Linked DNA regions of Alligator mississippiensis. The protein of the gene in region 1 interacts with the protein of each later gene in a pairwise test. Links are inferred from orthologs where the notes say so. Each region holds a gene or a part of one and is shown on either strand. Other genes may lie near its edges. The genes, in order: GOLGA1 and PDCL2.

The links.
Region 2: the proteins of GOLGA1 (region 1) and PDCL2 interact in a two-hybrid assay, tested with the Homo sapiens proteins (2 studies listed by BioGRID). The two-hybrid records come from large-scale screens. The link is inferred for Alligator mississippiensis from reciprocal best matches to the Homo sapiens genes GOLGA1 and PDCL2.

The regions. Positions count from the first base shown.
Region 1 is NC_081835.1:66,396,685-66,412,950, forward strand, and holds the start of GOLGA1 (golgin subfamily A member 1), read left to right. Parts: upstream 1-8,510; 5' UTR 8,511-8,584; intron 8,585-8,657; exon of another isoform or gene 8,658-8,745; 5' UTR 8,746-8,908; intron 8,909-9,032; 5' UTR 9,033-9,213; coding exon 9,214-9,348; intron 9,349-11,141; coding exon 11,142-11,232; intron 11,233-12,682; coding exon 12,683-12,757; intron 12,758-13,250; coding exon 13,251-13,348; intron 13,349-13,942; coding exon 13,943-13,975; intron 13,976-15,935; coding exon 15,936-16,064; intron 16,065-16,266. UniProt on the Homo sapiens protein: Involved in vesicular trafficking at the Golgi apparatus level. Involved in endosome-to-Golgi trafficking. Mechanistically, captures transport vesicles arriving from endosomes via the protein TBC1D23.
Region 2 is NC_081825.1:60,559,658-60,576,092, reverse strand, and holds the start of PDCL2 (phosducin-like protein 2), read left to right. Parts: upstream 1-10,053; 5' UTR 10,054-10,177; coding exon 10,178-10,183; intron 10,184-10,700; coding exon 10,701-10,821; intron 10,822-12,091; coding exon 12,092-12,182; intron 12,183-14,125; coding exon 14,126-14,269; intron 14,270-16,435. Other genes in the region: NMU (neuromedin-U), read left to right, coding at 99-152, 3,495-3,530. UniProt on the Homo sapiens protein: Essential for male fertility, spermiogenesis and acrosome formation.

The DNA.
Region 1 (16,266 bases):
TGGTTATGATCTGTGTGAATGTGTTTGCTGGGAAAGCGGGAGTTTGTTGCTGGCTGGACAAATGCCTCTGGAGTTGCACAGTGGCTGCAGGAGCTCTTGCACTTGCTGACAGAGAGGCAGCCTGGAGCAGAGAGGAGAGAGCGCTGAGGAGCTTTGAAGTAAATGTTTCATACGTCCAGCCTAATGATTATTGACACCCCAGATTTCAGACAGTCTTCACTTGAGTTAGCAACAGCAGGTAATACAACTCTTCCCAAAACGAAGCTAAAGGCTAGCAGATACCATTGTTTCAATGTTTGGCTTTTATAAAAATATTTAAAAAGTGAAGTGTACTTTCTGAGAATATTGATGCTGCCCAGAAGGTATTCATGCTTTTAAATCCAGGGCAGGGTTGTCTTTGTAGAAAAGAAGCATAATTTATATATCAAAAATTACAAAATAGTTTTTCAAATGGACTGAATTGACAAATCTGGAATAATATTAGCAAATCAAACTGAAGTCATGCTGCTTCTGTATGGGTAAAATCTGGCTGGTATTGGAAAGGCTGCCTTCTAGCTTTTGTTATTGTGCATGGCTCTGCTGTCTGAATTAAGTCCATTAGGGTGTTCCAAGTACCGTATTAATTAAACCGCAGTAGAGCAAGCACAGCGGATCATGACCGTATGAGTTAGCAACATGGAGCGTTCCAAGCCATTAGGGAAAGATTTTGGTCTGTGTTCCTTTCTGATATTGGAACAATGAAAAGGGTGGGGAAGGAATTTAATCAGCCCCATGACTCAGGAGTCCAGTCAGATATTGCAGTTTTTAAATGAAGAGTAGCTGCATTAATTTGATGCCAACCCCAGTGGGCCTTATCACAGGACTGTTGCACAATGTTGTGACCTTCTGTTCAAGAGAGGCTGGACTATAAAGGGTGGAGAGTGTTGCAGGCTGGGATTGGTCTCCTTCTGGCTTGGGGCTCGGGGAGGAGTACAGTGCAGAACAGCCAGGAAGCTTGCGCCACCTTTGCTTGCACTGTCTTGGGCCCTGGCCAGTGCCATCAGTCCTTCATGTCTGAGTACCAAAAGTTCAGGTGAATACTAGGAACAAAAATGTTTCTTCCTATGAGCAGATTGTGAGTGGTGATCGGGCTGCCTCTGCTTGGTCTGCAGTTCTCTTCTCTAGGATTGTGGTTCTCTGGTCACCCACCCGTCTTTAGCTGAGATGAGATTATTTTAATGACTGTGTATATACAAGGCGTTTGTGTGTGTATGTACAGGACGCACGCACCCACTGGTTGGGTGTGCTTGTAAATATGTATGTGGGTGTAAATATTTGTATATAGGGAGATATGAGATAATACGAGTTGTATATACAAAAAATATATATACACACAGACGCCAATCGGGATGCATTCCAGGAGGGTGTTCTAGAAGCATCATTCAGGATGCTGTAGTTAAGGTTGTGGCTGTATTCCCATGGTAATCCTCTATTTTCAGGGGCTCATATTTGGTTCTGTGAAATTGTTTGCGGCTGAAACTAGGTATAGGAGGCCTCATCTAGTCATCAGGGGCTTTTCTTTTATAAATTCAAATATTCCAGTTTTCATTGAGGGGACAGTAACATTGTGAAATGAACCCATATTTCTTGCTGCAGTGATAATCTACCCTCCTCAAAGTGCAGGAGGTCCCAATTGCTACAGCTCAGGATGGTTTAACAGTTAACGCTGTTATTTCTTTCATTATGACTTTCATGGAGCATGCTTTGTCCTGGGACATATGCTAGGGAAACTAGGAGTAGGAAGATCTTCATAGTCACAGGACAATGAAGAGCAGTATCCATGCTGCCCTGTCCCTTATGTTTGTAAGTTAACTGGGGGGAGAATCTCGCTCTTGTCCAGCTCATTTCCTTGTATCTGAGAAAAGCATGCTCTTCTGGACCTTGGGGAATGCCCCATTTGTGTCCTTGTGAACTCATGTGGAATGTCTTGGAAGCTGACTGGAGAAGCCTTGGCAGGACAAACTTGTATCCTGCTCAGCCAGGATGAAAGGTAGAGTTTGCATATGGTGCATTTCTCCGATTCCTAAGCCTATCTCTGTACTGTCAAACAGTGTGATATAGTTGGTCTTATTGCCCCATTTAGCTGGAGTCTGTTATGGGTCTGGCCAGATGGCAGCACCCATACAAAAGTGGTAGAAGAGGCTTGTGAAGAAAACAAGAGAACTTGGAGGTTGGATCAAGATCCAAACATGTTAGTAGCACTGACTGAATCCAGAAAATCAGTAATGTGCTTGTAAAGAAGACCTTGTTCTCTTCCTGACTATTCTGTCATATGATTACTTTGTTCAGAATATTTGCTGTTAATGAAACTTGAAAACAGGGAATTTCAAGACATGAGCTTCACTTCTTTTTTCTCTCTGAGGATTGTATTTGTAAAAAGATAAATACATAAAATAATACCCCATATCTGCTATAGAGAAGATCACAAGGGATCTCTCATTTTTTCCAACAAAATCAGCAGTATTCAAGACCAGAGGATTAGAATTCTTTTTCCACTTTGTACTAAGTCATCATCAACATGTGTATGTACTATATGCATATGTATATGTCTGTAGATACCGTTCTCTGCATACACAGCAGGTTTGTACTTATCAGAAAAGTGTTTCTCCATTGGTTTCATATTCAGCAATCCTCAGTTTAGAAGTGGATAGCAGTGATAGATAGATCTGGAGGGGGAGTGGAGCCCCTATTTTCAGATACAAATGGGTATTCAGTGTCAGGCACCCAGAAATGGGTGTCTTCCTTACAACAGTAGAGGCGACTTGAATTAAAACCAATAGGTAGGTCAAGTTCATGAGGGACGGGGAAATATGCAAACCTGACTAAGTGCCTGCTTGGCAGACTTCTGCCATAGGTCCTGCCTTCCGCTCATGGTAATATAGCAGGCCTGATCAAATAAACCTTTACTGCCATTTGTGGCATCTCTCTTGCCCTGTACTCCTGTACCATTTAAGCTTTAAACCATCTGGCCAAGGTTAACACTTACTGCTCTTCTTTCCCTTGGCATCTCAGATTAACAATGAAAAATAGAGCTGTGGATCTTCCTTTGGTTGTACTTACTAACCACACTCTGGATAAAAAGGGTTTCTTGTGCAGCAGATACTAATGCTCTGTTCCATCAGAATCGGGGACGTGTGACAATTGGACAAGCTAGGCTGGAATGAATGCTGAGCAAGTCTCGAAACTTTGGCCTGATAGACTTTGGAATAATAATCTTCAGTAGATAGCAGCCACTTTCTCAGCTAAGCATGCAAAGAAATTCTTAGAGAGAGAGAGAGTGTACCAGGACCTCTCCAAGTGTCAAAGAAAGTATGAGAGTATGGGGATTTAGGATTCAGAGGAACACACCTATTCATCTTTGGAGCTCTTACAATTATAAACTCTGTTAAAACTGCCTTTGTAAAGATGAGAAGAAAGCCTGTATTTGAATCCTACTCCATAAATGGAGAATCAAAGAGAGTCCGGGTTGCAATTGTGGTGTGATTTTTTTTTCAGATGGTGCAACACATGGTGAACGATTGCCCAATTAGATCATTTAATGGCAGTCTAAAATCAATCCATGCAGCCACCCCTGAAATAGTTGAATGGCTATCAAATTTGGATATTAATCTATGAATGTTGTAATCCTAAAATGTCATCTGAAAGATGAAGAATCCAGAGCTCTTTATTTTGAGGGAGAAAACAGTCCAAATCTACCATCTTTTGAAGTCAGCTCCTTCCTGAAAATAACCTTTCTGAAATAGCTGTTCTCTTTTTAAGGCTTCTCTTACAAACATTCACTAGACTCTAATAATCTTTCTCAGCATCACACCTCACTGCTGGTAGCAATGGTCAGAGCTTTAATGCAGAACAGGCAGGACTAGGCAACATAGTTGTTCTAAATACTGGTTGATCAATAGCTTTTGATACAACAGCTCCTTGAGTTGTTGTGTCAAGGGAAGCTGCACTCGTATGAAAAATACTGGCAATCTGATGGGGAAAGGTGTGTAGATGGCTAAGAGCTGTACCTGGACTGGAGCACTGCCAATCTGTGGATAAGGATGCTTCTATGGCAGATTGGGAAAGAAATACCCCAAGTGGGAATCATGCAAGTAACGAAGATCACCCACATTTCTGAATAACTTTGTAGAGGAACATTAGATCCATCTATGAAGATCTAGTGCAGGGGCTTTGGGTATTGGATGTTTGAATGTGAGAGGGAACTGTGAAAAGTATATCTTTAGATTGACTTTTGCTTGCTTTTAGGATAAGCCGGTTGCCATCACTGTTCAGCTCTTTTCTCCAGAGAAGACCCTGCCTTCCTTTTAGCTATTTCTTTTTCTCCAAGCCACTTCTCTTCCCAGTTGCTGAGAGAACCTGCTGAAGACTTCTGAATTTCTAAATGGTGTTTCAGAAGAGTGAAGGAATAAATCTCTCCTCTCCTTCTTGACTTATTCTTATTGCGAACTCAGTTGCCCAGATGCGTAAGTGCTTTTACTCAGATATTCCTGCTTCACTTCGTGCTTTGAGACTTGAGCAGCTGACTTCCTATGCTACTCTTTGTTCAAGTAAGGCACTGAAACAGTTTTCAGATCTAATTAGGTTGTTCCCCTGCACATATTCCTGCAGGGCTAATGAAACCTTCCGTACAAGATGAAACTGCAGAAAGGCTGTTTTGAATTTCCTGTTCAGACCATGTTACCTGCTCCCCTAATATTTCCTTACAAAAAGAAGGGACCCTATCTGCTTTGCAGATTTCTTCCAGCCTCTTTCATTACCACTTCTCAGTGAACATGGTGAAATTCTTTTTTCTCCCCCCCCCCTCCCCTCTCCAGGAGCAGGGCACTGCCTATTACACACAAAAGCACAAATGTGCCTCTACCTTCTCCTGCCCCTCCCCTAGGCTCCCCAAGTAATAAGCGGAAGAGATGGGGCTGGAAGAAGGCAAAATCTAAGAAACCCAGAAAGAGGATCTGTGCCTCTGGCAGCCCATCCTTGGAGGAAAGGGGAGCTTTCTGCCTCTGTTTGGAAATCTGATTATTTATCACCAAAAATAATTTTATATTGAATTGGTTTAAAGTTATTTTACAGCCATGTGCCTGTATATCATATTTTGGTAAAAACAGATATTTTACTTAAGATATAGAGAGATATATAGATGAACTTTTTGAAGCAAATGGACTTTTCTTCAAGGCATCTGTAAATCACCAAAACTGTGTAATTGCCAGAAAATATTCTGCAATTTTGGTGTCCTTGGGAGGAAAGGAGTATGTTTTTTGTGTTACCACTGAACATTTCAGGAATAAAAAAGAGCTAAGATTAAAGTGAGAATTTAATAATGTTAGTTTCCACCATGATTCTTATTAGTAATTAGAATTAAGTAGTATGCAGGCCTGCTTACTGCATCCATGATCGGTTTTAAGCCTTCATCTGTGCCATTTTGCAAGCAGATTTCTAGTATGCTTTTGCTTCTGTCAGCTGGCCGTTAACGAACCACTAGCTCTCCAGATTTTTCTCTTGTTTTTGCTGTATAAAAACCTTAGGAGTTATCTCTTTTATGGCTGTTCTCAATTCTTAGTTGTCCAGTTGTAAGGTATGTTGTATAATGAAGGTGCAAGGCATACTTAAGCTTCTGTAAACGAAAATGGCATGCAACCAGAATGCCTACGCCACCCAACGTAAATGGCTTGATCCACTAGTTTACATGGTATATAAGACAAGCTTTTAATCAGGCGGCAGCAGCAGCAACTTTAGGTCAGGAAGGGCTATAAGTATGTAGATCTCTGATGTATTTGGGCTCCTTAGCACATCCTAGCTGGACGGAGTCCTTTAATTCTAGTGAGTAACCATTTACTCACCATTTCTTACAATCCTAATGAAACCTGAAATCAGCCAAGTGTGGAACAAGCATGTCTGCACCTGGTCTCTGACCCTTCCCCACAGAGACTAATAACTATGTAAATCTTTTTCTAGCCTTGTATTGTTGTTAGAAAGTAACATTCTTGTTTTTAATGTGTTATTTGGAGGTCATAAATAAATAACTTGCCTTTTTAGTGGTATGAAAGGACTTTTAATAAACTGTGGCAAATGCTTGTATGTAACTGAAATGTTGTTGAACTGTGATGCCATTTGTAGGGAAATATACAGCTGTATTTCTAATAGGAGCCCTCTCCTGAAGAGATGGAAGCACAAGTTTTACATGTACCTATCCTGTTCCAAGTGCTGCTAGTCTATAGTGCATGTGATGATGCTGTTTGGTAACAAACCTCTGTGATGGTTCAACAAAGCCACTGTTTACCTTTGTTACATAACCATGTCTTGTCGCCAGTTTGTCTGTTATGACTTGAGTTTTTAAAACAAAAAAATAAATAAATATAGATATATATATACTGAAGAGAAACCTATCTTGATCTGACCGGTGTGGTATGCGGCCTTTCTACCGCTGAGGAAATCTCAGGCCACCTTTGGTTTTACCGTACGTCAAAAAGGACATCTTTCTGCAAAGACCTACCAAGAAATGTGTCACCATAAAAACCGGTTCGCACAGTTGATGTGGAAATCTTATGTCTGTCTCGTGCAATACTGTATAAGCTGTTGTCTGTCTTTTAATGCATCTAAATTACTTAAGCCATAACCTCAACCATGGATGTTTTTCTCATTTGTTTCACTCCATCTAATCTCTCTTCTCAGCTTTGAGTCTAATACTAATACTTCATGTTGTAGTTAGTGCAACACTGTGTGAAACCATGTTGGGTTCGATGGAAGGTAACCCAGCAAGATAATGGTGGGTATTCAATGCCTAATGGCCATCAAATGCATTGTGGTTCTTTATACGCCATCCTTTTGCTTGCTGCTGCTGGGAAGACTTTACTCCACTAAACAGTTTCCAAGTTAACACTGTGATTCTGCACAGAGCTGACATAGCATCAAGGGAACGAACTATTGTAACAATGTTTATGTTGCTTCGAATGACAAAAATATGAAAATGTTTGTTTTTGCTGTTGGAGTGCTGATGACATTTCACATTGATAAATGTTCTTCCAGAATGTGGCTACACTCATCAGTTGTGAACTATTGTACATGATTTTTGTATCTGAAATCCACTCATAAATTATGTGTATTACCAATATAAAATAAACATATTTGCTTAATTGTTTGCTACTGCTTATTGACACATTGGTGCTGTGCTACTCCAGGTGCTGGGTGATGATGTTCTTTCTAGTACTTTTGATAACGGAAGGGAAGTTAATCTTGATCGACAGCTCGTACATAGTCCAGCTTTTAGAGTACCAGTTGCTTCCTTTATAGTTTGTATTAATGTTGTTTGTGTGTCAGACTTGCTATTGGTGATTGTTTCCTTTTCTACCTTGCGGACATGGGGTTTCAAAAGGGTTGTCTGATGATATAAGCAGAGCTGGTAGTAGCTGTCTAGTGAAGATTACGTAATAGGACTTTCTTTATGGGTGTTCATATTTTTCCAGACTTACCCATTCAAGATGAAATTTCCATCAGGAATGACTCTTTCCATGAGGTGACTTTAAAAGTTATGCTAAAACAGTTGAGCTGATTGAGAGGAAAGCGAGGTAAAATACATTTTGTTAGGTTTTTTTATTTTTCGTTTCTGTGAGGAACAGGAACTTCCCCATCCTTTGAATCAGAAACTTGACATTTAGCAAAGAGATGCATTTTTGCCGTGTCTTCTCGGGTGGGTCTGACCGCATTGAGCACGCACAAGCTGCAGACACTGAACAGGATTTTCTTGGCAGTCATTTTTTTTCTGGCCAAGCACCAGAACTTGAAAGCAGGGATGTTGCTGTGCTTGGAGTATTTTTCTCAACCCAAGAGTAAAACAGCAGTCCGACTTGACTGCAGACAGGAAGGAAGATTTGAGCGAGGCAGAGGCCTGTGTGCTCAGGGAAAGGCAGACCCGAAGGCAGCCGAGGAATGTTTCCCTCGCAAGCACCAGGGGCGATGGCCTCCGGGCGCCTTGGCCCTCCAGCGGCCGGGCCCGTCTGCCTTGAGGCTAAGCTGCTGCTCCCAGTTAAGCAGCAAAGGCGAGGACGGAGCTTGTGCAGCGTGTCCTGGTTTGGTGTTTTGGACTCTCTCAGCAGTCCTTTTCATACGTTGGATTTGCCAAGATGTAATAGCCAAGTGAGGAAGTAAATCCCTCCCTCTTGCTAATACAGTGCCCTTGTTTGGGGTCCTGGCGGCGTCTTTCCAAACCATCTTTGCTGCCTTCCCTGCCCCTGACCCCACGGACCCGGGCACGCGCGGTTGCTGCCTTCCCAGGAGAGCGGCCCACGCGCTGGCCTGGCCTTTAACCCGGGATAGCGCAGGCCGCTGCCTTCTCCCGGGAGAAGCAGGACGCGCCTACCCCAGCCCACGTGGGGCTGCCCGGCCACGCCCCCTCCCTGGCGCAGCCGTCCGCGCATGCGCCGCGCGCCCCTCCCTCGCTGGGGGCGCCGCTTCCGGCGGCCACGTTGTGCTTCCGGGTCGGGCTCGTTCCAGCTGACGGCGTCACATCCGGCTCCGGAAGCGGCGGGCCGGGTCGCCGGCGGGCCCCACGGTGAGGGCGGTGGCCGTTGCCAAGGGGACGAGGAGTCGAGGAGGGGGGGAGCGGGGCCCTCAGACCATCCCCCGGGCAAGGGCCTGCCTGCCTCCCGGTGCCTGAGGCGGCTGCGAGGGGGCCAGGCCTGGGTCTGACCCGGGTTGCGTCCCCATTTGCAGGCTGCAGCAGCGCTAAGGGAAGCCGTGTGGAAAGTCAATAACATGCCTTTCTGATGAGGAGCCGGCGCGCCTCGCCCGCCACCGCCCGCACGTATCCGGCACAGGCGACTGGGCTGAGCCTCCGCTTACGAACAGGGACTCGCGGTTTGGCCCCGTTGAGTAGGTAACGTGGCGTTTCGGGGGCAGCACAATAAGAGCGTGATGGAGGTGACAAAACGCCCTTTGGGCTGTATGGGTGTGAGTCTGTTGGGTTTGGCGCTGACATTTGATCTCTCTTTAATCTGCAGGCATGTCGCGGTGGTGAACTCTTCGGGATTAGACCTGCGTTTGCGAACGGGACGTAAAACTAAATCTTGACTTCTGGAAACTTTTCACCGAGCAGCCGCACCGCGTTAACGGTTTCATTCGGAGTAGCCGCATCGCAAAACAGCGCTTCCTCGGGTGCTCGAGGACTTCAGCTTCAATAAAATGTTTGCAAAACTGAAGAAGAAGATAGCGGAGGAGGCGGCTATTGCTCCTCGGCCAGGGGGGGCGGCCAGGATTCCTCGATCCGTCAGCAAAGAGTCCATCACGTCGGTGGGAGCAGATTCAGGAGATGATTTTGTAAGTCACATACGTTGCTCCAGAAGAATTTTATTTCTTAATGTAATGTTCCTAGCACAACATTTGTGGTTTTAGTCTTGCATGGCTTGAATACCTATCTGGATACATCTGTAACATCAAGTCTGAACGTTTCTTTGGAGATTAGCGAAAGGGTGTATGAAACGTAATCAATTTTTACATATTAAGTATATAAATGACACAGTTACCTCCAGGACAGGGCATTGCCCAATTAAGATAGAAGGTACTAACAATATTGCAGCAGAACAGAAGATAACTATGTCGTTGTAACGACGAGGCTTTTGAGAAAGCAAGTCGACTCTGAAGTTTGTAGTGACCAGGTTCTCTGTTTACCTCTTCGATTTCACGGGAAATAGCGTTTGAACAAGTGCATAGAATGAGCACGTGTTACCGGTTTTGAAATCACAATATAAATATATAAGGTACTTCCAGGTGTGTTTAGGTTAAAAGAACTTGATAACGCTCCGGCTGAAACGGTCAGGTCTCCTGAAGGTTATCCAGTCGCCCACCGCCTGGGTTAGGTTACAGGGCAGCATCACCTGAGCCAGCAGGCTTTGTGCGCTGTGTTGCTGCAGACAGCGGGTTCCTCTTTGCTTTCGTTCCCCAGATGAAGGGGATATTTTTTGTTGAGAAATGGTGTAAAAGCTTTCCAAGTCTCAAACATGTGGCCAAGCTAAGTAGGAAACTGATTTCTGACAGTTGCTTTCACATAAGAATTGAGAATAGTGGGTGTTTACTGTGCATGAGTGTTTCGGATTTTTTTCCCCTGTACTCGGGTAAACTACAAAAAAAAATAGATCTAACTTGCATGTAGTAAATGATGTGAAGTTAGCGCCCAGGGTATCTACGAATTGTAGGTACAAAGAACAGAAAAGGTGGTGTAGCAGGAGATAACTTATAAACATATGACCAGCCGCTTCTCAGGAATGCCGTGCTCTGGCAGCGTAAACTTCTTTTCTTTTGACTTCCTAAGGAGCAAAAATAGGGCTGCAGTGGAGTAAAACTGGTGCCATGAACCCTTTTTTGCCAGAAAGTTCAGACAAGGCTAATCCTGTCTTGAGACATGTGGACTCAGTGGGCATGTCTACACATTTGTTAGCGCGCCAAAGTTTAATGCGCCATAATTGGCACCACTGCACATTACTGCCTGTGCGTGGTTTTTTTGGTGAAACTTATATGCCATAGACTAATTCTGCTGCGTGTTAGTGCATTAGCACAGGTTTTGCCTGTCATGCTAATGCGCAGAATTTGTCTACTGTGCTCAATACCTCTCATGTAGATGCGCCCAGTGACTCTTTGAGATCCCTTCCAGCCCTGTCTTTTATGCTTCTAAGTGACTGTTGCTAATTATGGTTTTTAGATAAAAAGTGTTAGGTTTCCCTTTTCCTACTGCTTTTCTTTCTAAACTGACTCCTCCTTTCTAGGATCTGTGGTGTGTAGTTTGACTTTCTGGTTTCCAGTCATTTTGCTGTGCCGTGCCTCTTATTTTCTAACTGACACTTGCTGAAAGTCAGAATAATCTCTAACATAATTAGAGCTGACTATTTAAACACTATTTTTCTCTTAAGTGTTGTATGCATTCATTTAGTTGGCAGAACTAAATGCGTGTAATGTTATGTAAATTTATCTTCCTTTTCACTAGAAATTTGAAACTGTTTATTTTTAGTCCTAATAATGTTTACTGTCATTAAAATTTGAGAGTGGTAGGATTATTCTTCCTGAAGCTCGTAAACTACATATACTACATATATATTTTCTGTCTCTAATCTGGAAAGGCCTCTGATGGAAGCAGCTCTAGAGAAGATCTCTCATCCCAGTTGTTTAGACGAAATGAACAGATACGGAAACTAGAGGCTAAACTATCTGGTATGTGTTCAGATGATACCTTATTAACTTTGTTTGGGAAAATACTGTTCCTTGCAATTAAGAGTTTTCACTTAGCTGGAAAGCAAACCCCCTTTTCATAACTTTGTTGAATTGATTTATACCTTTCTGTTGATCAGCGTCCTTGCATTGTAAAATACAATCTGTACAGAACCAATACAGACTGACTTCTTGTCTTCTTGCTGCTCTTGGCCCACGTATGTGATCTTCCTGAATGGATGGGATAGCTTTCTCACCCCACGCGCAACCAAGACAGCTCCTCCCATACACTTCTTATTTGCTATCTGTATTGCAGTAACAGCCAGGGGTTCCAGCTGGAACCAAGACTTCAAAGTGCGGTGTTCTAACACTGTCTCTGCTCTGGGAAGCTACCACTAAAATAAAGAGTGTAGCATAAAGCAATCTTAAAGCAGGCAAGGATGAGCCTTTAAGACCACCCTGTCCCAAGGGCCTTTCTGGCAAGCGCGGAGCTTGAGGAAGTGCTCTTTTCTCACCCTTCTCCCAGCCCCTTGCATAGTGAGTGAATCAGAGCAGGGCTGGAATTCACTACACTGTTGCTGTCCTCTGCTTCCCATGGCTCACGGAGGGGCTTTGGGAAACAAAACACGGTTTAAAGCAGCTTCAGGTGTGTACTCCCACCCTTACTTGTGGAGTACACGAGGGTGCAGCGATGGCTTACGTTACAATCAGAACTGGAATGTGTACCCTTGGATTAAGACAGAAAGCGTAAGTAAGGGTTCAGGTACCACAAAGACAGAGATGGTGGAAATGGCCAAGGTGCTTTCAGCCTTACACCAAGATCAGTAAATGGATCCATCACCTTATTTCTAAATAAGAGTAGTCCAAGGTGTGCTCTTCCTTTGATCTGGTTTGTTCATCAATTTTGCTCAACAAAGGGAAAAAATACTTGCTACTTATTCTACATTATTAAAGATTTGCGTTTTAAAAGTATGAATATGGTGCTGTAAGCCGTGCCAGGTAAACTAGTCACTGGTCAAAATGCTACCTCCAAACTATTACACAGCTATGGTGGGAGACTCTGTGGATTAAGGGAACTCTTCTTGAATTTCCCCCATGCTCCTTCATTCTGTCTTGTAGAAGAGATTCTTCCCAGGCAGGAGTCGAACCAAATTGCTTTTCTCAACTTCCCCTTTCCTTGTACCATACCCAGTGCCCCTTTCCTGTTATTAGCACAACTAGGCCCTTCTGTTTGTACAACCCATTTCCCCCATGGATAGTGTGTGGTAGCATTATTTGCTTGTGGTGTTTATTGTTAAGGTCAGCCTAATTTTCCTTAACAGGAATGATTTTCTAGTTGGGAAAATCATTGTCACTTTCCACTCATCCTTTTTTTATTATTTATTTATTTTATTTTACTTCCTTCCCTAATGTCTGTCCATTCCTTGTCTGTGCTTTTCCTTCCTCGCCCAAGATTATGCTGATCAGGTCCGAAACTTGCAGAAGATAAAAGAGAAGCTTGAAATTGCATTAGAAAAACATCAGGATTGTATGTATTCTTATTTTCTCTTCCATTTTTTTCTTTAAATTTAAAACTGTTCTGTATTGAAGGCTATACAGTTGGAAATGGATCTCATTACAAATGGAGCACATATCAGTTACAGGAAAAAAAAAAAAAGAAAAAAACATAAGACTGTCTTAATGCATGCTGGATGAAGAAGCCATAATTGTATTTGATGTTTAATAATAAACTTGTGCCTGGCAAATAATTGCTTTAAAAAAAACTCAAACCTGTAGACTTGCTGTAGTTCATTGGAAACATTGCTACTGCATTTTGTTTCTGTATGCTCAGTACAGTGGGGATCCAGTATAACGTAAAGAAGGCTCAATTCCATTCCTAAAGAGTTGTTACCACTGGAGCCTAAGCAATTTAACAATGAGTCTCTAAATTCTGTTGTGACATAGTTAGTTCAGAAGCAAATAAACAGTGTTAGCTTTGCATGCTGTGACTGACTTCTCATCTAGTGGTTTTCTGTTGACAGCCTCCATGAAGAAATTTCAGGAGCAGAATGAGGCTTACCAGGCCAACAGAGCTAAGATGGCTGAAGGAATGGCTTTGGCATTGGAAAAAAAGGACCAGGTAATAAAAGCCGGTCTGGAATGATGAAGTAGTTGACCAATAGTGAGAAGCTTAAGAGTGAAGCAATATCATTGTGGCCAACAGGGAGCAGAGGTGGCAGTGTGATATGAAAAAATCACTGCTGAAAGACAGCACTTGTTACCCATGACACGGGTGGGTCTAGGCTAGAGAATGTCTTGCCTTATTCTTCATGTAAATGGAGCGAGGAGGTGTGATGTGGTGTAAGTGTCCAAAATAGTGTTGACAGGGGATAAGTCTTTGTTCTGCAACGCCTTGTTCTCGCTGCTTTAAAGAAGCCAACGGACATCTCTAACAAACTTAACCTCGCATTTTGCTGTTTTGATAAAAACTCCATTTTAATATATTAATTTACTGTGCAGGAATTTTGTTTGCACAGAGCAGATATGCAGTCATGTCAATTATTTCATAACATTTTACTAGTATATTATATCGTCCTTGATTATTTTTACCTACAATTTTTATTTTATATTTTATCATAATGTAATACTTTCAGTGACTCTGATACTTTTTGTTGTCATTGTTACTACATTTCGTGGATTTTGATGCACCCTTTTTCCCCCCACCAACCTACAGGAATGGACGGAAAAGTTGGTTCAAGTTGAACAAGTAAGTCACCTTTGATATCACTGTAATAAGTGGGTCTGTGTGTTTCCTTGTACTCTGCAAAAAAGATCTGAAAAAATGTAATTGCTATGAGTATCTGATATTTGTTCCCTGGCTGAGACCTGAGATTCACTTTCATTCCCAAGCCCATCATTTCAGAAGCTAACCCTAGAATTTGTTTTGGAGTGGGGAGTAACAAAGCGTAGGTCTCAGACACTGACCAAGACTTGAAAGCCTGGGCATGCCAGCCCTGTGAATTTAAATACTGCATCAGACTGTTCCTATTTAATCAGCTGAGTATTAAGAGAGTGCTTAGATTCTGCTTTCAGGAACAAAGAAGTTAATCCTTACAACACCCTAGGACATGGGTTGGCAGCCTACAGCCCACAAGATGGATCCAGCTTGTGGAGCCATTAGATCTGGCCCATGGACATGGGGCTTTGGCAGCACTCAGTGTGGAGGGAGGGGGACCTTTGGTGGAGCACTCTCCCTACACTTCCATAGGGATGGGGGCTGGCAGTAGCCAGGTCCTAGTACTCACCTGCCTCTGACCCATAGTGGCTCATTCTATCCTGCAGCTGGTAAAAGTTGCCTACCCTTGCCCCAGGAGGTAGGGCAGTAGTATGTCTGTTTTACAGTTGGGTCAGCTGGGACATAGGGCAAGTGGATTTCATAAAGGCCTCCAACAAGTTGCTTTTAGAGTTAGAATGAAGACTGGCCTGATCAGACATTGGAAATTAGGTGGTGTGTCACACTGCCTGTGTAGAGGTAATTTAATCTACCACTGCGATAATGGCAGAATGTTCCTGAGCTGAGGAAGAAGGGTCTTTCCCTCTGACAGTGAGTAATACTACACTTTAAAAACAGCATCCTATATTTTCACACTGTAAGCTTGTGTGAGACCAAGAAGACATCTCATATTTGTCTGTGAGCACCAGACATGCCATTGGCACTATCTAAACAAAACCTTCTTTAGTACAGACTCCACAGTGGCACATAGAAGTTTCCCATTTCTTAATGTGCTTCTAGGGTTGGCCGTTATGCTTTGCTTTCTGATGTTGATGTCCAGTTCCTGCTATGGATGTTTTATGCATTTGCTACTACATCTGCTGGATTGGTTGCAAGGAGTGAGCTTTATACCACTCATAATACTCTTTCCATGTAGTATTGATTTGATGGGACTTAGTAACGAGGTATTCTGTCTTAATGGCCAGTAGAGCTGTTAAGCACCATAATAACCTTCAGTTCACCTTAGGAAATTTACATTTAGCTGGGGGAAGGAAATTGCTGGTTTTGGCTGAGAGAAATGGAAATACTTGTCTAGGGCACAAGCCCCATGGGGATTTGACATGGAGTATTTCACTAAAAGAGAATATCTTTATTCTAACATAGAGAACAATATTGCTTAAAGGAACTGTAACTATTGGTGCAACTACAGCGGCCATAGAATTGTATCCTCCAGTGAATAAGCATATGCTGATATAATCTATTTTCAGCTTTGTAATGGAAATCGGTCCCCTTTTATTTCACGTACTTTTTTTTAAGGAATTCAGTCTCATTATAGTTGTTTCAGCTGTTCCATTCAATCTCTGCTCAAGGCATTTTAGAGTATAGAGGCATGAAACATATTTAGAATTGCAGTTAGTGCTGATTGCCTATCATTTTGACATGCTTGAGTGATTAGTATAAGACCTTTCTATATTTGTGTCATATTTACAGTGCGGATCTAAGAGCTCCCAGATTTCAGTAATGATGCTGTGCTGCTTGTTAAGACATGTTGTTATATAGAAAAAAGTTTGAGTTATTTATATACCAACATCATAGCGCGTAGTGATAATAGAGAATGTAAACAAGGTTCCTTTCCTAAAGGGCTTAGTGTAACATCCTGTTGACCTGAAACTTTTATAAAAATATTTTTCAACCACTTTTTTTTTTTGTTTTGTTTTTGGTGATTGTTTAATAGGAGAAAAAACTGCTTGCAGCTCAGTTACAAGAAATGAGGGAGCAGAGTTTGAACCTTTTCCAAAAGAGAGATGAAATTGATGAACTGGAGGGCTTTCAGCAGCAAGAAATAGCCAAAGTTAAACACATGGTAAGATTAGTTTAAAAGGGAACTTCTGTTTTATGCTACAATATTTTACTATAATTTGTTAAAGAGTGATATCTGATATGCTCATTGATATCTGAAATGTTGGAATTCTTGCTGTATGTGGATGCATACAGCATTATGTAAACCCTTCATGTTGACTATTTTAATTATTTTTCTGTTTCTAATTTCATTTATGATGGAAGGA
Region 2 (16,435 bases), on another chromosome or scaffold:
ATTTTCTTTATGAGTTCTGGATATTACTTATATTTCAGTTTTATTTTTTAATTCAGCTATTCAAGTATGTGTAATTTGAAATATATTCTTCTTTCCAGGAGGAATATCAAGGGCCTGGAGCGATTCAGAGTAGAGGCTACTTTATTTTCAGGGTATGACTGTTTGTTTTTTTAATTTTCAAACGCAGCTTTATTACATTGCAAAAAGTACTGTACTTGGTATTAGTAAGTATATGCTAATGGAACGTGTTTCAGGAGCAAGGACTTATTATAGCTGAGGTTCTATCAGCATTCCTATCCACCTATCATCTTCAGAAATGCTTCTTTCAATTTCCATTGAACTCAATAAGTGAAATCTACCAGGCAGAGAACCTGTGTTTGTAAAGTGATTAGTGCAACTGTTGTATTGACATGATTTGAATTATGGGGGAGCTAAAGGAGTTAAGCCCCACATAAGAGACAAAATCTCCCCTGTAAGATCTGAAAATCATAACCTGAAGGGGGTCTCTGATTTTATTAGGGCGTCATGATGGGCAGCCCTTTTTTTTTTTGCAGGCCTCCTCAAGAGTCAAAGTGTAATTCAAACCCTGCAAATTGGAATTGCTAGGTGCTACTGCAGTATAAATATTGAACAAAATAATAGGCAGAGTGTGTACTGAGGACTTCTCAAATATAGCTAGCAATGTTTGTAAATATTTAACCTGGAGTCAGTGTCAGTATCTTGACATGGGAAAATTGCCCTCAAGAAAACAACTAAAAGGTTTGATTTACCAAATGAAAAAAGAAATCATCGCAAAATTTCCTACCAATAATACAGTAAAATATTTTTTCATGCAATGTTACTGTTTATTCTGAATAGATGTAATACCATGCTATTTCTTAATAAGCTATTGATTATCAGATATAAAGTCCTTGAACTGAGTAGGATTTAGAACCCATGATAGACGGACATAAATTATGCTTGTCTATCTTACAGACTTTGTTCAAAATTGCATTTCCATATTATACATAATAAATGCAGTGATATGCTTTGTTCTAGTAATTTATATATTCACCAGCCTCACTACTTGATTTTTCTACTTTTGTCACACTTTGTTTTGTTAATCACACTTCTGTAAAGTGGTTGTAAAAACAATCTCATCGGAATGCCCGTTTTCCATACATAACTCATGCTGTTGAGTTTTTATTGTTCTTTTTTAGCACAAAGGATTAAGCTAAAGATAATTAGATGTAACATTTTAATATTGACTTTCCTAGTTTTTGTCAACTTCTTAACATTTTCTTTCTAGTTAAATAGAAAACTCTCTGGCAGAGGGGGTGCGTATTTTGGATATTTGTTTCTCATGCATGAAACTTCAAGTTTGAGCATTATCTTAATAGGCTAAATTCAGAGCAATAATAGAGTTTTGGAGAGGAAGAATCAAACCTAGAATTTCTCAAAAGTTTTCTATTCAGCATGAATGTTGGTACTCTGGCTTCCATTCTTTATTTTCCCTTTTCAGTCTGTTCCTCTCTAATTTTCCTCCATGTTTCTTTTTCTTCATTTGTGCTTCCCATTCTTTCTCACCTTCTTTTTTATGTTCTTTTTCCTTCCCTGCTTCCTCTTCTCTCCAATTTTTGGATGGTCCCTAAATCCTTTAATCTCTTTGTAGATAATGTAGTTTATACTACTTTAAACAGTACAGTTCATTTTTTAAACAGTACATTTGAACTCTTATAAACAAATCGAATACTCTACAAAGTAATGTTTGGCATTGCAATTAATTTTAGACATCATATACACATAATTCCAGTCAACATACCTTCAGTTCTACCCTCTTGAACCTTTGATCAAACTCCATGCCAGTCCATAAGCTCCTGTCCTTAATATCCAAAAAAAAAATCCCATGAGAAAACAGGTGAATCTTGTGCAGTGTCTTAAAGCCACTAAATTGAAACTCTAAAGGACAAGGTAGTGATTTGACTTCCAAGCCAACAGTGTCTCATGATAATGCCTTACTGCCAGACCAGGGGTGAGCAAAATATGGCCCACAGGCTGGATCCAACCTGCCAAGGGATTTTATCCAGCTTGCAGCAGGTCCCTTGGCTGTACCTGGTCCAGACACAGGGGGCAGTCTGGGCCATGGCGCATACTTCCAGTCCTGCCACACCTGGGCATGCAGCAGGGCTGGGGCAGCGCGGCCAGACTCGCTTCCTGGCAGCCCTGGCAATGGCAGCTCCTTCCAGCTACCGCCACCGCCAGCCCCATCCCCAGCCTGTCTATCCCATACCCACCACTGGGGGTGGGACCCACACAGGCAGGGTGCATGGCTGGGTGGATGGGATGGGGCCACAGGCAGGCAGGGAGCAGTGTCTGGGAACAGTTCAGGCAGAAGGGGCCAGGATCATGGGTAACAATGCAAGGCCAGGGCCTGCACAGCCACAATCTGCAGTCTGCACATCCCTGTGACAGGTGCTGTTTCTGCAGGCAAAGCCATGCAGGGAGTGGATCATGGCTTTGCCTTGTGTCCCAGCCCTGCACTGTTACCACCTAAAGATTTCAGACCTGGTCCCACTCCCAGACACTGCTCCCTGCTTACATGCCTATGGCCCTATCCCATCTCCCTGGCTGCGAGCCCTGCCCACAGGGGTCCTAGCTGGTCTCCATGGAGACCCTGGGATCACAGGGCAGTGAAAGTGCAGGGCCTAAGTCCAGAGCCGAGCAGTGATTCGCTCCCTACATGCCTCTGCCTGTGGAACTGGTACCCATTGCAGGGGCGTGCAGGGAGCAGACCGTGGCTCTGCCCTAGGCTCTGATCCCACCCTGTCATGGCCCCATGATCCCAGCCCTACCTCCTGGGCCCGTTCCCAGACTGTGCCTCCTGCTTGCCCATGGCCCTGTCCCAGCTGCCCAGCAGAACATGGAGCAGAGCCCCTTAGGGAGTTTTGGTAAACTATATGGCTGGGGGTGGAAGCGGGTAACCTGGCCTGCGACAGCTCACCAAAACTCCCTAACTGGCCCTCGGGCCCAAATAATTGTCCATCCCTGTCCTAGACCCTTTCAATTAATTGTGGATTTTCTACTCAAGTCCTAGGACCTGAGTGTTTTCTAATACATGAGCTCAAAGGTTGGGTGTGCTCCCTGATGTATAAAAGTTGAGCTATTCAGGGTTTTAAAGGGTCAAAGCCAACAACACCTTGAGAGGCATGTTTAGTCCTTGTAGAAGAGATGCCTTCATCTTCTTCCCCTTGATGATGTATGCAGGACTTGGCACAATGCAGCCTGTAATACTTATCAGTAGTAATTTTGCTGCATAGTTGATTTTCAGAAATGGACAAACATTGTCCAATACTTTAACAAAGATATCTTAATTTTAACTGAGCAGTTATCTGGTAAAATATATGGGACAAATCAAGGAATCTAAAATGCAGTAGGTATTGGATTATCTGGGGCATTACTTAAACACCAGTCTGTTTTATAGTGTTAATTTCTTATCAGATATTGTTATTTTCTAGCCACGCAATGGAAGGAGATCAGCAGGTTTCCGCTAAAAAGGTATATATTTCATATTTTTAATGAAGACCTATATTCAAATCCTGTTCCTTTTTATAGTGAAACCAAGATACGTATTTGAAAAAAGTATCCATTAATTTGGGATGCTGAGATTTTTGAATAGCCAACTTGAGATATCTATAACCTGTTTTGGGATCAGGGTCAGAGCTGTTGGTACGTGCCCATCAACTTGAAGGCAATGGGTGCTGCAGATGCTGAGCACCTGTAAGAATTACTGTATTTTCACGCATATACCCTGCTGGGCATATGCGATTTTACAAAAAAAACAGATGGGTGCGGGCTATACGGGGGTGCGGGCTATGAACAGACTTTTTTTCAAAAGGGGGCCGCTGCGGGGGCTGGGGCAGGCTGGGTTGCGCCGCCACTGCCACGGGGGCTGGGGCCAGGGCAGGCTGCGCCACCTCCCTGCTGGGCCTGGGCTGCACTGCTGCTGCTGCCATGGGGGCCAGGCTGGGGCCGGGGCGGGCTGCGCCGCCTCCCCGCTGGGCCCAGGCTGCACCACTGCTGCCGCGGGGGCCAGGGCAGGCCAGGCTACGCCGCCTTCCTGTGTATACGCCGCCATGGGGAATACATGGGTGCGGTGTATACACGGACTAATTTACAAAAATAAAATTTTCCGTGGGTTATATGTGGATGCGGCTTATATCTGTGGATGGGCTATATGCGTGAAAATACGGTAAGCCAAAGGCATTTCAAGCAGTTAAAAAGTTGGCACATAAAAATTTCTAGTTTATCACTAGTAATAAATACATTTCTAGCGTGTGAACCAGGAAGTGTATAGCTTAATGTTGGATCGGAAGGTCAATTTGGTAAAGATGTTAGAAAAAATTGTGATCTTTACAAGTTTGATCCAGAAATCATTAAAAGACTTCTGTACACAGGTAGAATTCACACTGAAATTAAGGATTTGAGGACTGAACCACAAATGATCCAGCTCATGAGAAAAAATCTTGGGAAAGTACATACTACATTTTCTTTGCCCCTGTTGTGAAATGATGTTTTTTTAGTGTTTTTTTTAAAGCTGTTACATTATAGACATTTAGCATGGCATAACAGAAGTATATCAACAACTAACGTTTTGCATTTTTTTTCTTTCAGAATTTTTGATTCCTGACCTAGAATCACTGCTGTGGGAACACAGAGTATATGGACAAAATGGATTTCCCCACAAAAATTACTCTTTACTATTTGTACAATTCTCAAAAATCACTAGAATGTAAATGTTCCAAAATGTAGATTTGGTTAAGATTGCAAATGCTTCTTTAATTTCTTGACTGCATTAAAAGCATCTTAAAATTAATGATTTGTTTCTAGTGTTGTTTTGTTTTATATATTTTATATATATATATATATATATATATATATATATATATATATATATATATATGCACTAAGTAGAGAGTTGATTTTAATGAAGAATTCTCTATTTTACATAATACATTTGAATGTTTAGATTATTTAGTACTGATAGAAAATACAACTTAAATTATTTTGTAATATAATATGCTATACCTAATCTATTAGTTTCTGTGCAGATTTATACCAACAATATAGGCTTATATTTGTACATTTTATTCTTTATATATGTTGATACTTTGAGTAATTCCATTTTAACTGAAGGTCTTATACCTTTTAATATCTGTCAAAGAGGAAAATCAGTCCCTGCAAACACTCACATGTACAAGCTATATAAAAGCTATTCTTCTAAGACAGGAGTGTTCAGCCTCCACCCCAAGGGTCAAATGTGGTCTGCAGAGCCATCACATCTGTCCCACAGGGCTCCCCATGGGCTGGGAAATTTGGCAACAGGAGAGCAGTGGCCACCCTCCCTCACTGCCAAATTGCAACTCTCCCTCCCCCAGCACAGCCAGGTCAGGGCTGGGCTGTGCCCCTTTTCTCCACTGCTTTTCCCCATTTGGCTGAGTTGTGGCCCCTCACCCCCACAGGGCTGGATCTGGTTGGCTGCCTCCTCACCCTCTTCTTGCAGCTGGCTCAGGGCCACTGTCCACATCTGACTAGGGTGGCCATTCATCCGGTTTCATAGAGGACAGTCTGGTTTTCTGGTCATAGATTCATAGATGTTAGGGTCGGAAGGGACCTCAATAGATCATCGAGTCCGACCCCCTGCATAAGCAGGAAGGAGTGCTGGGTCTAGATGACCCCAGCTAGATGCTCATCTAACCTCCTCTTGAAGACCCCCAGGGTAGGGGAGAGCACCACCTCCCTTGGGAGCCCGTTCCAGACCCTGGCCACTCGAACTGTGAAGAAGTTCCTCCTAATGTCCAATCTAAATCTGCTCTCTGCTAGCTTGTGGCCATTATTTCTCGTAACCCCCGGGGGCGCCTTGGTGAATAAATCCTCACCAATTCCCTTCTGTGCCCCCGTGATGAACTTATAGGCAGCCACAAGGTCGCCTCTCAACCTTCTCTTGCGGAGGCTGAAAAGATCCAGTTTCTCTAGTCTCTCCTCATAGGGCTTGGTCTGCAGGCCCTTAACCATACGAGTGGCCCTTCTCTGGACCCTCTCCAGGTTATCCGCATCCCTCTTGAATTGCGGCGCCCAGAATTGCATGCAGTACTCCAACTGCGGTCTGACCAGCTCCCGATAGAGGGGAAGTATCACCTCCTTGGACCTATTCGTCATGCATCCGCTGATGCACGATAAAGTGCCATTGGCTTTTTTGATGGCTTCGTCACACTGCCGACTCATGTTCATCTTGGAGTCCGCTAGGACTCCAAGATCCCTTTCCACTTCCGTGCCACCCAGCAGGTCATTCCCTAGGCTGTAGGTGTGCTGGACATTCTTCCTCCCTAGGTGCAGCACTTTGCATTTCTCCTTGTTGAACTGCATTCTGTTGTTTTCTGCCCACTTGTCCAACCTGTCCAGATTTGCTTGCAGCTGTTCCCTGCCCTCCGGCGTGTCCACATCTCCCCATAGCTTTGTGTCATCTGCAAACTTGGACAGAGTACATTTCACTCCCTCGTCCAAGTCACTGATGAAGACATTAAAGAGTATCGGTCCAAGGACTGAGCCCTGCGGGACCCCACTGCCCACATCCTTCCAGGTCGAAACCGATCCATCCACCACGACTCTCTGGGTGCAACCCTCTAGCCAATTCGCCACCCACCGGACTGTGTAGTCATCCAAGTCACAGCCTCTTAACTTGTTCACCAGTATGGGGTGGGATACCGTATCGAAGGCCTTCCTGAAGTCTAAGTATACGACATCCACCCCTCCTCCTGTGTCCAGGCGTTTCGTAACCTGGTCATAAAAAGAAACTAGATTGGTCAGGCACGATCTGCCTGCCACGAACCCGTGCTGATTTCCCCTCAGCATAATTTGCCCTGCCGGGCTCTCACAAATGTGAGCCTTGATAATTTTTTCAAAGACTTTGCCAAGGATGGAGGTGAGACTGACAGGTCTATAGTTGCCCGGGTCCTCCTTCCTCCCCTTTTTGAAAATGGGGACCACGTTGGCCCTTTTCCAGTCCTCTGGGACTTGGCCCGTGCGCCACAAGCTTTCAAATATTCCCGCCAGTGGCTCTGCAATGATGTCGGCCAGTGCCTTCAGCACCCTTGGATGGAGCTCATCCGGGCCCGCCGACTTAAAGGCATCCAGTTCTTCCAAATGACTCTGCACCATTTCAGGGTCTACGCATGGAAGTCTGGCGCCTTGCTGCTGCCTCTCTACAACCCCAGTGAGAGACTTGTCGTGCCCCTCTCTTAGGAACACCGAGGCAAAGAACTCATTGAGGAGTTCAGCCTTGTCCCCCCTGTCCGTCACCAATTGTTTCTGCCCATTTAGCAGGGGTCCTATTCCTCCCTGGGCCTTCCTTTTACTCCCTATATATCTAAAAAAATATTTCTTGTTGTCTTTTACTTGGGTTGCCATCCTCAGCTCCATGGTAGCTTTGGCCTGTCTAACTGCCTCCCTACAAGCACAAGCAGAGGAGGTATATTCATCTTTGGTGATCTCTCCCTGTTTCCACTTTTTATGTGCTCCCCTTTTGTCCCTGAGGCTGCCCTGGATTTCTGTGGTCAGCCAGGGAAGCCTCCTGGCCCCTTTCCCTTTTTTGCCTCGCTCGGGGATTGTCTTGCTTTGTGCCCGAAGGATCGTTTTCTTAAGGCACAGCCACCCTTCTTGGGCTTCCATGTCTTCAAATCTCCTACTCTGCAGTGCGTCCTTGACTAATCGCCTGAGTTCATTGAAATCAGCTTTCCTAAAGTCTAGCACTTTCACCCTACTAGTTACCTTACCCACTCGACGTCTTATGGTGAATTCTATTATTAGGTGATCACTGTCCCCCAGATGGCTACCCATCTGGAGGTCCCCTACCATGTCATCTCCCGTTGCCAATACCAGATCCAGTATGGCATTCCTCGTAGTGGGACCGTGTACCTCCTGAGTCAGGTGGAGGTCCTGTACACAGGTTAGAAACCTTCGTGAGCGGTGGGACTTTGCTGTCTGTGACTCTCAGCAGATGTCCGGGTAGTTTAGGTCCCCCATGACTACCGCCTCTTTAGCTTTTATGGTCTCCGAGAGTTGCCTCAGGAGCCCCGAATCTCTTTCTTCCCCTTGATGTGGGGATCTGTAGCAGACCCCTACCACCAAATCCCTTTCTCCTTGCCCCCCATGTAGCCTAACCCACAATCCTTCTACTTCCTCATCCTTGGATTCCGTCTTGATAAGGGTTGATGTATATTGCTCACTGACATAGAGCGCAACTCCTCCCCCTTTCTTCCCCACCCTGTCCTTTCTGTACAATCTATAGCCCTCAATATGTACCGCCCAGTCATGGGATGAATCCCACCAGGTTTCCGTTAGCCCCACTAAGTCATAGGTGTTTAATGCAAGCAGGAGCGCTAGTTCATCCTGCTTGTTCCCCATGCTCCTAGCATTAGTATATAGGCACTTGAGCCCTGCGACTGGTGCCTTTGCTGCCCCCCCGCTCCGAGTCCCAACGGGCCCTTTGATTCTTACCTTCTCGTTTCTTACCTGTGCCGTAGTGCTGGTCTCCCCATGGCTTTCAGGTTCCTAATGCTCTCTTTCTTCAGGCTGGGCTGTCCTTGTGGGTGTCACATGGTTTGGTGGTCCACAGCTTTCCCTGCCCTCATCTTCCCCTCCCCCCAACGAGCCTAGTTTAAAGCCCGCCGGAGGGGATCTGCCAACCTAGAAGAAAACACACGCTTACCTTTGGGGGACAGGTGAAGCCCATCCCAGCTGAGCATGTCCCTCGTCGTGATGTGCAGGTCGTTGTCCAATGTGCGGGTCGTCTGTCCTCTATTGATATGAAACTGGATATCCTCTATTTTTCACGACTTGGCACACCCTTCCCTCCCTCTCTCCGCAACCGACACTGCTTGGCCTGCCCTCGCCTCCGCCATCATTGCAGATGCCTGTGGGAGCTCGCTGCTTGCTGTCACCACAACCCCACTGCCACCACCGCCGCCACTGCCTGTGGGAACTTGCCATGCTCCCACCCCCAGCTTTGGGAGGCATGCGACATTCATGGTGGTGGGGACAGTATTTTTGAAGTACCTCGATGGCCACCCTACATCTAACCCGTGGACGGACTGGGCACTGCCTATATGGCCTACCAAGGAAAAATGGTTGAGTATCACTGGCCTAAGACTTCTTTGCCTCTCACATAATTCCTGGGCCATCACGGCTACCATATCACTCTTAGGTCCCTGCCACCCATTCAAATTAGCTGGATAGAAACCACATATAAAGCTGTTACATATTTGCCAAGCACTGTCTTGGTAGCTGTTTGGCTCTTTTTATAGCTGGATGGACATTTTTATGGAGTGACTGTTACTTTTGTACCAATTAATTGTGTCATGAACTCAAGGTGTGGCGGGGGTGAGCCTCACACTACCAGGGGCGTTATTCAAATGCTCAAATAAATCTGCTAGGCCCACGTCTCCCTGCAAGGGCTGGTTCCCAGCCCCATTTTGCTGAGGACACGACACAACAGCTGTGCTGGCAGCTCTCACCGGGTCATTGCAGCCAGCAGTAGGCAGTGGGTCGCCAACAGCAACCTGCCCTGCCGAGCCCCTCTCAGCACCTTTCCCCCGCCCCATCTTTCTCTGGCACCAGGTTACACCAATGTTGAACACATTCTTACGTTAACATTTTCCACATTGAGACAGCTCTCAGTGTCTACCTACAAAGATTTTGAACAGAAAAAAATATATTGAAATATTTTGCTTCTGCACTGAACAAGAGGACTCGTTTTTTTGGTTTGTTCTTTTAAGTGAAACCATATGAAGGAAGGAAACTAAAAGAATTCAAGGAAGCTGAAGATGGGTTTGAGGAAGGGGATATAAAAGCTGTTGAACAGTTTCGGTGTAGGACGTTACTGGAGCAGCCCCGTGACGGAGGGGCGCAGCCCTTGCCAGCGCCCTGCCCTAGGTGTTGGGGCGGAGATGGCTGCGCCCCCGTGTGCTGCCGCCAGGGGAGCCCTCTTGGGGGCAAACCATTCCTTGACGCAGGGGGGTCCTATGGAGAGAACGACGCTGCCACCGCCTTTATTAACAAATGGATCCGCCCGGCGACCGGGCCAGCGGCCGTTAGGATCCCGTGCAGGGGCGGCCCAACGGTTGCTGCGAGCAGGAGCGGCGCCATGCAGGCGAGCGGGGCCGGGGCCGGGGCGCCGCTGGGCCTGGGGCTGGGGTGCGGGGAGGGCGGAGAGGAGTCCGGGTGGGCAAGTGCCGAGGTCCAGCTGGAGATTCCCGGGTGCATGCCCGTGACTACGGGCGCGTGCGAGCGGCCAGCCCTCCGCATACGCGTGTAGGCACGCAGACGTGCGCGGCTGAATGACGTGCACGGGGCAGGTCCGTCATACCTGCCCCACGTGTGCCCGGGATCTTGGGTTCGTGCCCTGGCTGCAGCCTCTGCTCGTGCTGCATCTGCTTCCCGGCCTGCCCTCACACGGGGGCCCCAGGGCAGGTTCATCTGGTGGCGCTCGCCCGTGCCCAGGCGCTGTGTGGGTCTCAGCGTCCAGTTAAGAGCCACTCTGTTACATCGTGCCATGTTGTGTCCTGGATGGTATTGTATACCAGAGTGGAAAAATAAAGAAACCATTCTTGTTTGGAAACAATATAGAAATGTCTGTTTTTTTGCTTTGTTTCATGATTTCCAAACAGGATCCCAACGAAGATACAGAATGGAATGATATATTAAGAGATTTTGGGATTCTGCCTCTAAAAGTTGAGCCGAAAGATGAAACCGAAGAAATGGTTTTGCGCTTACAGAAAGAAGCAGAAGGCAAGTACTGTTTGACCCTTAACACCATTCATAAAGTAATAAAGATCTGACACATCTCGTGTCAGAAATTCATTTTTAAAAAGGAGTATTTTGGTTATTTTATTTGGTCTTGTGTTATTTTTCAGTGAGCTATTTTTAAAGTAGCGAATTAAAAAAGAATATTGCATTGAAGAAAGTGAGAGAATAATAGCACCATAAATTTTGCAGTAGAGTCAGTAACATGCACCATGGTATATAACAGGGGTTTTCAACCTTTTTTGGTTGGTGTACCCCCTGCAGCCGGTCAAGAAGTAGGAAGTCCAATCAGTGAGCGGCGGGTGGTCTCCTGTGCACAGCAGCAAAACTGGAAGTGCCCTCTGCTTCTCCGCGCCACTGCCACGTACCCCCTGGGAGCTTCCCAAGTACCTCCAGAGGTGTGCCTACCCCTGGTTGACAACCCCTGGTATATAACATGAAAAATCAACCATTTAGCTTTGCATGGTCTGTTTGAGGCTTTGGTGCCTAATGAAGTAAATTTACCATGTAGCCATTGCCTGCGACAAATGGAGCACATGAAAATGACCAAAGTAGTACTTTTTATATTTACTGATTGCATCTATATGTATACTTTACTGCAGAGTTGACTAGTTCTACATTAAGGTATCACCATCTACACAAGCATCCTTATGAGGTGCAGTAAATTAATTAATTCCGTTATAGGATAGTACTGTCCAGGACAAGTATTATCCTACGGCAGAGTTACCTAGTACGCCGTAACGCGTGTGTAGACAGTGACCAGGGCTGTCTGGGGCAGGAGGGTGCTACAGTGTGGGGGCTGCCTGGTGGCTAGCCCCACACTGAAGCACCTTTGTGCCCAGCCAGCTCCCCTGCAGCATGTTGTGCCAGGGTGGAGGAGCTCCAGACTGGCAGGCTGACACCCTGGGTCCCCTGTCAGCCAGGGCTGCTTCACCCCAGCTTAGCAAGCTGCGGTCTTGGGCACACATGTAAATATTGTGCCCCAGACCAATAAACTCCAGCGTGACCTGTGCTGGAGTTTATTCCTACGTTCTAATTACACATGTAGGTGCACCCACTCATACTTAACTTGCCATCTTTTTCTTGCACCAGGTTACACTGATGTCGAACAACAAATTCTTAGATGAGATGTAATATTTTTCACATTGAGATGGCTCTCAGTGTCTTCATATAAAGATTTTGCACAGAAAAAATACTGAAATACTGTTTCTGCAGTGAACAAAAGCACTAATTTTTTTTATTTTTTTTTTTTAAGTGAAACCATATGAAAGCATGACTCTAAATGAATTAAAGGAAGCTGAAGATGAGTTTGATGAAGAGGATATGAAAGCTGTTGAAAAGTATAGGTATACTAAGACATTACTTGCCATATTAATATAAATTGTTTTGTAAGTGTACATCCATCTGATTCCCACTGTAGGTGAGCATGCATCTTGGGCTTGTGAACTTGGAATTTTTTAATATCTGTGTAGGGTCTACCTATATGTCCTGTACCTTCTCAGGTTCCTGCTTGAAGACATTAAAGGGTGGAGCAGCCATAATCCTCCCTAAATTCCATTTCATTGCCTGTAGCAGTGACATAGAACTTGAACAGTGTCCAATTCACTATGACACTATGACCCAAACTCTTTCCATGTATTTAGTTATTCTGGGGGTTGGATGATTCCCTCCCCCTCTGACCGTTAACAAATGGGGACATAATATGTGTATATTCTGATTTGGACATAAAAATATGCATTTATCACTCCTCTTCTTCCTGGACCTGGAATCTGAAAGACATCAGATTCAAACTAGGCCTCTTGGGCTAATGAATAAAAGGAACATCAGGTGCAAGAAAGGAATGACTGCCCTATGTAAAGTTGTACATTTAAGATGGAACAATCACATACAGCACCACAGATGGGAATGACTAGCCAGACTGCATTACTGCAAAAGGGGATGTGGGAGTTATAAACTGCAAAATAATCCAGTAGCATTCAGGGGGTTTGTTAACAAGAGTGTCATCTGCAAATCAAGTGGAGTGATTCTTCTACTTTGTTCAGTACTTGTGAAACCTCACCTGGAGTACTGTGTCCAGTTTTTGGCACAATTCAAGGAAGATTTGTCCAAATCTGAGTCCAGAGGAGAGCAACAAAATGATTTCAGATTTGAAAACATGATTTATAACAGGACTTCACAACTTCTTTGTGGCTAGGGCCTGCAGGCACACGACATGCAATTCCCCCTACCTGCCCTGCTCTTTTGCACTACCCTGGTGCCTCAGGTCCCTTGAGTCCTCCTTCAGGTATGTGGGCCATGCTGTGCTTCCCCCAGAGATGGGGGCAGGCAGCGAAAGGTGGAAGAGGGAGGGGAAGGCTGGAAACTCCAGCAGGAGAGTAATGGAAAGGGCACAACCCAGGCCAGAGACATGGGCCACCAGTTGGATAATCTTTCTTTGTAAGAAAGGTTAGAAGAATTGGGATTATTTATTCTAGGGAAGAAAAGACAGAGGAGGGAAATCAGTGGCAACATGTAGGGGGTGCATGGGGGTGCACGTGCATCCACTGAGAGTGCCGGTGCACCCCCTGACTGGCTGCGCTCACCACTTAAGCGATGGACAGGTAGGCAGGCAGGAGCGCTGGTGCTCCCCCTGCAAGTGCTGGCAGATCGCTGCAGCCATTCCCAGAAGTGGCCACAGCCATTCCTGGTCAGTGGGACTGGTCATTGGGGGGGGGGGGGCACATGACCCCCCTGACTAAGGCAGCATCAGTCGCCCATGGGGGAAAAGCATTGGAATAGATTACCTGGAGAGATGCTGTCTTCATTCTTACATGTTTTAAAGTACAGGTTAGGCAAACACTTGTCTGAAATAATTTAGGAATGATCCAACAGGGTGTTGAACTAGAAGACATCTGGAGGTCCCTTTTAGTCCTGTTTTTTTCTTATTGTAGCACAGGGAGTTCTGCATCTAAATTTTGACACATTATGGTATATAAACATGTACATACAGAATACTGTGCATTGAATGTTTAATTTTTTATATTTTTTTTTAAGAAAACCAGCTTAAAATAAAGGTTTGGGTTATTTCAGTACTTTTTCATAGAACTTAATTTCACCATATATTTTCATAGATGAAGACTGCCACCTACTGATTTTTCATTCAAATTTTCAGTAGTTGTTACTAAATAGTAAAACATCAACATCTGGCTTTCTTTATTAAAAAAGAAGTTTGTTTTTAAAATCAGAAACACAATTTGGGCTTTTTATTTAATTTGAAAGTTGTATTAAAAAGAGTTTATTTTTGAATTAGGCAACAGCGCTTACAAGAATGGAAATCTCTTCAGAAAAGACAAAAATATGGGGAGCTGAGAGAAATTTCTGGAGACCAGTACATTAAAGAAGTTACAAATGCTCCAAAGAATGTGTGGGTTATAATTCATCTATATAGATCAAGGTAATGACTAGGATTATATTTTTAAAAAACTTTTATTCATTTAAGACTCTAAGACACTTCAATTTAGAGTACTGAAAGTAGCATGAAGAAGAAGAAAAAATGACACATGCAGAAAAGACTGGTGGAAAGGTGCTGGTTTCCTATATCCCAATTTAGGAATAATCTTGGAAAATATTTCCCTATTAGTACAGTAAACAGGTTGTATTCACTTTCTGCTTATGTGGAACTAATGCAAACGATCTCTCTGGCCACTTGCCTTTTTCATATATAAATTGAATCCATGCTAGACTTGATAGAATTTCACATGTTCATATTGAGAAGTAGGTCTCCCCTTTCCATGCTATAGAGCAGTAGCTCCTTTGCAATGCTCCTTGAGAGCTCATTTTTCAGGATTTTGCCTCCCTCTTGTCTCACTGCAAAAGGAGAAGGATCTTTTATGAATATTAAGAAGGGTCTGGGATTTCCCTAATTTAAGTATTCCAGAACTGGGGTGGGTAATTTATTTCAGCTAGAGGGCCACTTAATGAGTTTTGGGGACCTGTCAAGGGCCACATTCATCTTTCTTCTCTCTCTCTTTCTCTCTCTTCTCCCTTTCTCTTTTGTCTGTCTCTCCTCTGCTCTCCCTCTGTCTGTCTCTGTCTCCTCTTTTGTCTTTCTCTCTGTCTTTGTCTCTCTCTGTATCCCCTCTCTTATCTCTCTCTCTCTCTCCCCCTCCTCTTTCCCCTTATTCCAGAACCTGCTGGATCTGTAGTTTGCTGCAGCAGGCGAGCACCAACATCACCACTGCTGGTAGGTTCAGGAGCCCAAACACAGAACCTGCTAGTGGCGTCTATAGGTGACATCACTGCCATCCTGGCATGGTAGAAGCTCTTGCCCAGAGCCCCAAACTGGAACCTGCCAGCAGCATCAGCTGTGGACTCAGGCAGGAGCTGCTGCTGCACCAGATGGGCTGTGGTGTCAGCTGTGGGCAGAGCCAGCAGGTTCCGGAGCCCCGACACAGCTGATGCTGCTGCCTGCCTGGCACAGCAGAAGCTCCTGCCTGGGTGCTCAGGTTCTAGGTTGGAGCTCTGGGCAGGAGCTTCCAGTGTACCGGAAGGGTGGTGACATCAGCTGTGTATGGTGCTGGCAGGTTCCACATCGGGCTTCTGAACCTACCCGCAGTGTCTACAGCTGCTGCTGCTGCATGCCGGCTGTGGCAAAAGCCTTGCCTGGGTCCACAGCTCATGCTGGGTAGAACAGTCTTGCCTGCAGCTGGAGGCACCAGCCACCCGTGGGACAGATACAATTAGTTGGTGGCCATCCACCCATTGGCCAAATCCAGCTTGCAGGCTGTATTTTGTCCACCCCTGTTCTAGAAGATTTCCAGTGATAGAAGCAGTTGCAGGATGGTTCAGTGGTAAGATCAAAGAACTCTCATGTTTAACTCCATATGTTAGCAACTCTTTCCCCTTATTTAAACAGTGCTGAGGAAGAATTTGAAATTTAACCCTCTTTTTTGAGACAGGACATTTTTAAGGACATTGGAACAGTTTCTCCAGTTCTCTCAGTTGCCAGGAAGCAACTTGTCTTTCCAGGAGCAGATAGAACCAGATATCTGTTAACCAGATAGAAATACAACTTTCAGGTGTAAGACTTTTCATACTACCATAAAAATACCTGGAAGGATTTTTGAGAAATGTTTAGGTTCCTTGGGGTCTGTGCTCTTGTCTTACATGCTTCCTTTTAGGTGACAGAAGTATTTCTTACACAAATTAGTAACACTACTTTCCCACCCTTCATGTCAGAACCTACAAAAAGGAGGTCCCTTTGTAAGGGGCTGTATCTCTAAGGTGGCACTCTCTGGTGGCCACCCCAAGCCTGTTCCGCACTCTTGTCACCAGCAGGGTACTGCCCTGTCTTTTCCTGCCATCTCTTGATGTTTGTTAATTAATATAAATTTGGGAGGCATCCCTTAGAGTCCCAGAATGACACTTTGGGTGCTCTGTTCCACCCTGCTCATCAGAGGCCAGACAGAGGGGTCCCAATCTTTCACTGGTTCTGATTCCTAGTAGGGTGTCTGGTCTGTGGACCCTCTGCCAGCCTACCTGAGTCTGTGGGGCCTTATGCCCCCCCCTCTTCCAGTCAGTGTCTGCATTGCCCACGCTCTCCAGCCACCCCAGACAGGCA